2 linked regions of the Caenorhabditis elegans genome follow. The protein of the gene in region 1 purifies or fractionates together with the protein of each later gene. This does not show direct contact. Each region holds a gene or a part of one and is shown in the gene's direction. Other genes may lie near its edges.

Region 1 (4,317 bases):
TAGATACCTCATGGCGAGCGGCATGGCATCAAAACTGTTCTCGTTCTCCTTGGCCAGATTCTCTCCGACAACATTCCCGAGCTTTTCTCCAGATGATCTATTGAGGCATTCTTTTGCCAGTGTAGAGTCGAATTTATCGCCGGTTCTCCGCTCATCATACATTAGCCACGCATCAGATATCTGGAATTGTAGTGATGGATTTAACATTGTTTTTAAAAAACTTACAATTGATAGAAGAATATTCGGTGACTTGCAGGCCATGAACAGTGACTGGCAAGCAACGTGAAGAAATTGCGCGTTGATTTTTGGATTTGCACGAGAAATAAGAACTTTGGTAGTTTCTACTGATGGTGCAGGTATGTGAAACTCTACAACTGGAAGATGGCTCAGATTAATGTGATATTGGTTCAAGCAGGATGGTGCACTCGTCACAAATCGAATCGTTATTTCTTGTATAGCTTTGTAAGAATCGAATAAGCATTGTAATGGAACAGGAGGATAGTCTGTTATCGCTTGTGCATTATCAAGAAAAATGACAATTTTTCTATTAGTTTCGTCTGGCCTGAAAATATTTAAAATTTAATTAACAAGAAAATACACTTACCATTGGACATATTTATACAGGTTATCGCAAAAATTCTCAGCTCTGTCACCTCTAGTCTTGAAACCTAAACTCGATGCCAGTGAATCGAATAACAATTTCAGCGATCCATCCGCATAGAGGAAGTCTCCAAGCACACAAACCTATAAAAATAGATTGTGAATTTTGAAATTGTTTGAAATTTTTAATTGTTTTGAAATTGAAGTTGTAAAACACGAACCCAATCGTTTTCAGGTTTTCTCAGAAGTTGACGAACAATTTCACTTCTTCCGCTTCCATCTTCTCCGAAAATGTGGACATGAGAAATAATTCGCGAGTTGTTAAATAAGAGCATTTTTAGACGTCTTATCTCACAATTTTCCATTTTGCTAAAAATAAAAAACTATGATATGGATAAAATGACTGATTTTTCAGCCTTGAAATAAAAACAAAAAAAACTTTCTTCCAGTAAAAACTGTTTTCAAGTTGGCGGGTATTCAATGGAGCAGGTTTACTTGGCTAAACTAAGCGCGATGCGAAATAACGGAGTGTCGTATTGCAGCGCGAACCTTGAAAATAAAATCATTTGCTCTTGAAACTTTGCGATTATTAAAGTTTTGATCGGATCTCCCTCAATTTTTCGGCGCCAAGAATTTATTTTTTGCAAAAACCTTCAATGGAACGATTATTTTCCAACGCAGGTTTCCCTATTTGAATCTTTGCCACATAGACCGGTTCATTTTATTCATTATTCGATTCTTGAACAAAAACAATCTTTTTTTCTTTGGCTTATCGTTATCAAATACCTAACTTTGGAGCTTTATTAATATTCTAGGTTCATTTGTAATTCATCTTTTAACGTCTGTTCTTCATTCATCCTAGGTGACATATTTAATCGATATTACCCTTCGCGATTCCCCCCTCCTACCACCAAGCACCATCTTGGTGTGGGGGAGTTGCGCTCCGTTGGACAATCGCTGCACGCGGAACATTCGAATCCCATTTGTCGATATTCTTGTATTTAGTGCAAACAATTCTTAATAGGCTCCTCACGTGACCTTAACATGTTCGCCGTGTAGAAACTATTTACACGTTGTGTTCTATTTAGATAAAATCATAACCTTTCTGTCAGATTTTGTAAAACGTCCAGTATTTCTCAACTTACCAATTTTCTACTAGCAATCAAAGGTTCTTTCTCACTTTTTATTTTATTATCTCTTGGAACTTGCAAACAATCGTTTATTGCAGCGAAAGGCCTCAATATGCTAAGAGCCACCAACAACAGACGAACATCGAATAATGTGGAAAAGGATAGCCTCCAGGTACAAGGTGTTTACAAACTAAAAACTATAATTATCATTCAGATGGCTAAGCACGGAAACGGACCATTGAAGCCCGTCAATGCGCAAGGTCTTCAGACGAAAAGAGAAGCTCGAGAGATTCTTGCACTCAAGCCATCCAATCCAGCTCCAGTCGAAACTGCGCAAAAGTCACAGAGAATCAACCTCCAGGATGCTGAGACTAAATGTCTTGCTATGGCCGACGACATATACAAGTATCTCGTTCATCACGAGAAAAAGTATCTTCTTGAGGAGTGCTTCATGGAGGGAGGAGAGCCCACTCCCAAGATGCGTCGCATTCTCGTCGATTGGCTTGTCCAAGTTCATGTTCGATTCCATCTCACACCTGAGACACTTCACTTGACTGTCTTCATTCTGGATCGCATGCTTCAGAAGAAGGTCACCTCCAAGGCGGATCTTCAGCTTCTTGGAATTTCAGCTATGTGAGAGTTTTTATTCAATTTTAAAACGTAACATATAGGGATTACTAATTGTGTATCCTTTAAAAATGTTTTGTTTCAGGTTCGTTGCCTCCAAGTTCGAAGAGGTTTACCTCCCAGACATCCACGACTACGAGTTCATCACTGAGAACACATACAGCAAGAAGCAGATCTTGGCAATGGAGCAAACAATCCTTAACTCGTTGAACTTTGACTTGTCCTGCCCATCTTCGCTTGTCTTCCTCCGCTGTCTCTCAAGAATTCTCTCCGAAAACGATGCCAGCCCAATCGATAATCAAGCTTTCTGTTATACTTACAATATCTCCAAGTGTCTCGGAGAGCTCGCACTGCTCGATTCGGTTATGGCCTCGACCCCAAGGTCCCACATTGCTTCTGCTTCGATGATCATCGCTCTTGAAGTTCATCCTGTTGACGGAATCGAGGCGGAGAATGCTGTATCGGTCATTTGGTACATTTTAAAGCTTATATTTTTATTTTAATATCAACATTTTTAGCAAACAGCTCGGAGCCTCTAAGAAAGTCATTGAGGATGCTGTCGCTTTGCTCGCCGAAGTCTCGTATAAGAACTTCAAACAGGGGAAGCTTGTCGCTATTAAGGTATTGAATCATCGAAGTATTCCAATAAACATAATTATTTGCAGAATAAGTATCAATCAAGCAAGCTTGCACAAGTTTCCAACTTGATGACCGACGACGTACTCGAGAAAATCAATCGGATGGGCCAGAATGCAAAAGTGGACGCATCAGAAATGGAATGAGCACTTCGATCCGAAATAAACATTTTGTACCATTCAGTCTTTCTTGATTCTTATGTTTCTTCCTTCATTGCTTTTCTTTTCGGCTCCTTTCCATTTTTTAACTCCTCCAGTCGTTTCCACGTCAATCTGGTCACACCCGTACATTGATTGTAAATTGGTGAACATTCGTTGAGCGACCATACACCACCTCCCATATTATTCAATTTGTCCATTTTGAAATTTAAAATTTCACTAAAAATTTTTATCACAACTTTTCGCGCCCTCTTTTGTATCGATCTCGTATTTAATTATTGAAACCACACTGCTGTAAGACTCACCGTCCTCATCTCTGTTGTTGTAACTAGAAGGACCAAAAACTTTCTGATGAAACCTATGTGCTATTAAATTTTGTTAAATGGAATTACTATAAATCATGTACTAAATAAGTGATGGAGTAGTCTGAAGGTTCTAGGGGGTCTCCTGCGCAATGACGCGACGAACTTAAACCAGTCAACAAGCATAAAAACAAGTAGGCTCCACCCACTTTAACCTTGAATTCTGTGTGCCGAACCCGGGGTCAAGTGGCTTTTCGGCCAATTACTCATCGGTTTGTTACAGCACTGGCGGTCACTTCTCGCCGAATTTTCTCAAAATGTGTAATAATGAAGCTGCAATTTCTCTGCGTATCAATCTCTAACGCTCTGCTGTAATGACTACAAAAGTGACCATCGAAAACGAGAATTTCATACATTCCACTCGAAATGGTTCATTCATCAGTTCTAATTGTTCTTTCACTGACTGCTTCTTCATCTGCATTCCTTCTAGAAGGACTCGGTTTAGGATTAGGTCCACAAAGACCTCAACAATGCTGCTGTCCACCACCTCCACCACCTCCACCATGCGGAGGCGGATATGAAGCTCCACCTCCACCACCACCACCATCATATGCGGGTGGACCATCATACGCTGGACCATCTTATGCTGGATCCTACGGACCAGGACCATACAGAGCCAAGTCAAAGAGATCAGTTGACATGAAAGCTTCAAGTGGAGATTTGTTCTGTAATAGTGTTGAAGTTAGAGATATTATCAAGAAGGTATTGCATTTGAAAGTAACTAGTCTATATTGAACATTTTCAGGGAATGACATCAGGTGAGAAGGAGTCACGTGAAACAATCACTGCTCTCCTGAAAACTGA
Region 2 (3,743 bases), on another chromosome or scaffold:
CCAGCGGAGGTGCACTTGTTCATTGCCCGATGTTTTTCGAATGATGTATAAAAAGCGGGATGATTAAACTGGAACTGCTTTTATTATGAAATTGTATATAAATGCAATTATTCCTTGGTAGAAATCTTGTATCCGAGAATAGCCTCCTCTCCGCAGGCAGCAACGACTTGAACCTGAAAATCAAAATTTTCAGATTCAAAAGGTGGATGTCGAAATAATTACCAAGACGCTTCCTTCGTCTTTCTCGAGAGCCTCACGGATAGTGTTTCCCAAGTCTCCTTCTGGCATTTTGAGATCGTCTTTGAGCTCGCAAGATTCTGGATCCATGAGCGAGCAGAACCCGTCTTCGATCGACATGAGCTGAAAATTTGATCAATAACATTTTTTACAGCTGATTAACTCATTTTTCAAAAGATTTGTTTAACCGTCCAAAGTTGATTTTTTTGAAAGCCTTCTTAAAAACTAATTAACAACTTACAATGTACTCGCGTCTCTTGACGACTGGGACGTCCATGTTGTGGGTGGATGGGCAGATATCCTCAAGCTTCTTGGTGGTGAAAATATCGATGGCAACCATGTGAACCTTAGCATGTCCGTGCTTTCCAGTCTTGGAGGTGCTCATCTCGACGATCTAAAAAATTTCTAATTAGGAAAATTCACTGAATTATTTTTTACCTTGCATGGTCTTCCTCGGATCATGACGTGCTCGTTCTTGCGAAGAGCCGAGCATTGCTTCGGGAAAGTAGCAGCAGCTCCGGACTCGGCAGAGTCGAATTGCTCCTCGTCGTGATGATCTTCGGACATACTGCAACAAAGATTTATCAATTATTTTAGCATTTTCAACTAGTTTCCAACGAGAAATTCAAAAAATAAATTTGGAAAAAAAGGTTTGCAGGAAAAAATTGTTTTGATTGAGAAATTTGATGCATTTCTAATAAAATATTGATCTTAGCAAGAAAAACACTGTACAAACCTGAGAAAAGTATAGAAATCGAGAGAAAATCAAATGCGCGAATTTTTTTGAAAGGACGTTGTTTGGCTGCGTATCACAATGAAGAATGAGTCGCTACGCAGCCAAAAATTTGGCGCCAACTTCCATCTTCAGACAGAATCGAAGTCCTCACTTTTTTAGGATTTCAAGGAATCTGCTCTATTTTTTGATTTATCTGAATAAATAATTTCCTAAAAATGCATTCGTTGCTTACTTGCCAAATTTCGCTTTCATCATGTAAAATTAAATAATAAAAATTACCTCTCTATGGTCTTCGGGGCAGCAACTCTCGCCATCCACCCTCCGAAGCCAAGATTACGATTTTTCTTTGAAACTCTGTTTAGTTTTGTTGGAAGCCTCATAAAGTAGAACAAATCAAGTTTATGATTATTTTGAGTAGTTATTTTTATATTTTCCGGCCTGTATTTATTCTCTTTTCTGCACAGTTTTGCGTTAAATTTTATCATATGAATGCAATGTTTCACAACAATCCTTCTCAGCGCGTACTCTCCTTTTCGGAATAAATTGTCATCAAAGGTGCATGCCTTTTCACTAAGCAATGGTCTCGCACCGACTGTCCCCCCTTTTCGGCGGCAGTGGAAATGATTCAAAATTACACGCTTACGCCTTTTCTATCGTTGTATTACAATTGTTCTGACAAAATTCATTTCCAATTTTAGTTATGGATCCTATTCGCGAAGGAGAAGTGGCCCACGAGGGAGATTCGGTTTACACACTCAACGATTTCACGAAGCTCGAAAAAATCGGCGAAGGAACATACGGAGTCGTCTACAAAGGCAAAAACAGAAGAACCAATGCCATGGTTGCTATGAAGAAAATCAGATTGGAAAGTGAAGATGAGGTATTTGAATTTTGTAGCAGTTTCGTTTTTTCAAACAATAATTCTTATAGGGTGTTCCATCAACGGCTGTGCGAGAGATCAGCTTGCTCAAAGAGCTCCAGCATCCGAATGTTGTTGGATTGGAAGCGGTCATTATGCAGGAGAACCGGCTTTTCCTGATCTTCGAATTCCTGTCTTTCGACTTGAAACGATACATGGATCAGTTGGGAAAAGATGAATACCTTCCGCTCGAAACTCTTAAAAGTTACACATTCCAAGTGAGGAAATATTTAAAATCGATGTCTTTACAAGAATAATTGTTCCAGATTCTTCAAGCTATGTGTTTTTGTCATCAGCGTCGTGTTATTCATCGCGATCTTAAGCCACAGAACTTGCTGGTCGACAACAATGGAGCAATCAAGCTTGCCGATTTCGGACTTGCCAGAGCTATTGGTATCCCGATTCGCGTTTACACGCATGAAGTGAGTTTGCATTCATTCTGTACACCAATACAATGATTGTCCGGTTTTCAGGTTGTCACTCTCTGGTATAGAGCTCCAGAAATTCTGATGGGTGCTCAGAGATACTCGATGGGCGTAGACATGTGGTCGATTGGATGCATTTTTGCTGAAATGGCCACGAAGAAGCCACTGTTTCAAGGAGATTCAGAAATTGATGAGCTGTTCCGCATCTTCAGAGTTCTCGGCACACCGACTGAGTTGGAATGGAATGGTGTTGAATCACTTCCGGACTACAAGGCGACGTTCCCAAAATGGCGTGAGAATTTCCTCCGTGACAAGTTCTACGACAAGAAGACTGGAAAGCACCTTTTGGACGATACTGCATTCTCTCTTCTTGAAGTAAGATTTCTAAAATAGTACTTTAACAAGTAAAATAATATTTTCAGGGTTTGCTGATCTACGATCCATCACTTCGTCTCAACGCGAAAAAAGCTCTCGTTCATCCTTATTTTGACAACATGGATACGTCAAAGCTGCCAGCTGGAAATTACCGAGGAGAACTCGAACTCTTTTGATGTAATTCATTCATCATCATTTTTATTATTTATTCTCCCGTGCTTTAACCACCTATCGTCTTCCGTGTATTGTTTAACTATCACCATTTCAACTTTTTACCTGTACGATGATTATTTGGCCCTTCGATATTCATGAGTAATCTCTTTTTTCACACCGCGATAAATAAATTCGCTCTACTTTCATGCTCTTTTTTATTCAAGCACTTTGTTCAACGTGTAAATGAGAATAGGGAATTAAGAATTCATTATTATTATTTTTCCATTCTGAAGAATGATCGCTGCAGTGATTCCAATATTCGTAATTTCTCTGTCTAACATTTCGCACGTAAGCTAAGGTAACGAAAACTAATCTAACTGGAGCTATTAAGATTATTCTTGCAATTTTCTTCTTCCCATCGATTGTAGAATTCCTCGATGATCTTTACTGGGGATTCACTTATCGTTCGTGGTCTCCAATTGCACGTCAATTAGAATTGGGACCGGTAGGATATATCCCTATATATAGGATTAAATACAATTTAGAGAATAAATCAAAATAATTGTGTTTAGAACATTTACATTCATCACTCGAAGGTTTCTATTTTGATGGACAAAGCTGATCTTTATGAGAAGAATCAGTCTAGGAAAGATATTTTAAACTATTACCGGGAAGGTATTGTTTAATATTTATTCATTCTCTCGAATATCTGAAATTTCAGAAGACAAGGATTTTGAGCAGTATTTGAATTTTAGAGAAAATCGAAAAATGTTGCAACAAGCTTTTGAAAGCGGAACTTTGATTCGAAAACAAAAGTAAGATATTACATTTCTCTAACTTTCCAGCTGTCATTATAATTTCCACTTGCAGCTACCGTGCCCGGATTCACGAGAGAATG

Evidence for each region.
Region 2: the proteins of cyb-1 (region 1) and cdk-1 purify together in Caenorhabditis elegans (affinity purification with western blotting, with the first as the bait; 2 studies listed by BioGRID). This does not show direct contact.

The regions. Positions count from the first base shown.
Region 1 is NC_003282.8:10,733,614-10,737,930, forward strand, and holds cyb-1 (G2/mitotic-specific cyclin-B1), read left to right. Parts: upstream 1-1,828; 5' UTR 1,829-1,842; coding exon 1,843-1,902; intron 1,903-1,944; coding exon 1,945-2,363; intron 2,364-2,442; coding exon 2,443-2,829; intron 2,830-2,875; coding exon 2,876-2,978; intron 2,979-3,022; coding exon 3,023-3,139; 3' UTR 3,140-3,560; downstream 3,561-4,317. Other genes in the region: orc-5 (Origin recognition complex subunit 5 C-terminal domain-containing protein), read right to left, coding at 8-180, 226-562, 605-744, 822-965; grl-21 (Ground-like domain-containing protein), read left to right, coding at 3,880-4,215, 4,259-4,317. UniProt on the Caenorhabditis elegans protein: Essential for the control of the cell cycle at the G2/M (mitosis) transition.
Region 2 is NC_003281.10:9,745,801-9,749,543, forward strand, and holds cdk-1 (Cyclin-dependent kinase 1), read left to right. Parts: upstream 1-1,671; 5' UTR 1,672-1,673; coding exon 1,674-1,853; intron 1,854-1,903; coding exon 1,904-2,110; intron 2,111-2,158; coding exon 2,159-2,314; intron 2,315-2,365; coding exon 2,366-2,692; intron 2,693-2,739; coding exon 2,740-2,868; 3' UTR 2,869-3,052; downstream 3,053-3,743. Other genes in the region: iff-1 (Eukaryotic translation initiation factor 5A-1), read right to left, coding at 108-173, 223-360, 479-631, 676-805, 1,253-1,353; T05G5.4 (uncharacterized protein), read left to right, coding at 3,140-3,193, 3,237-3,350, 3,418-3,520, 3,567-3,660, 3,716-3,743. UniProt on the Caenorhabditis elegans protein: Plays a key role in the control of the eukaryotic cell cycle. Required for entry into S-phase and mitosis. Acts as a component of the kinase complex that phosphorylates the repetitive C-terminus of RNA polymerase II.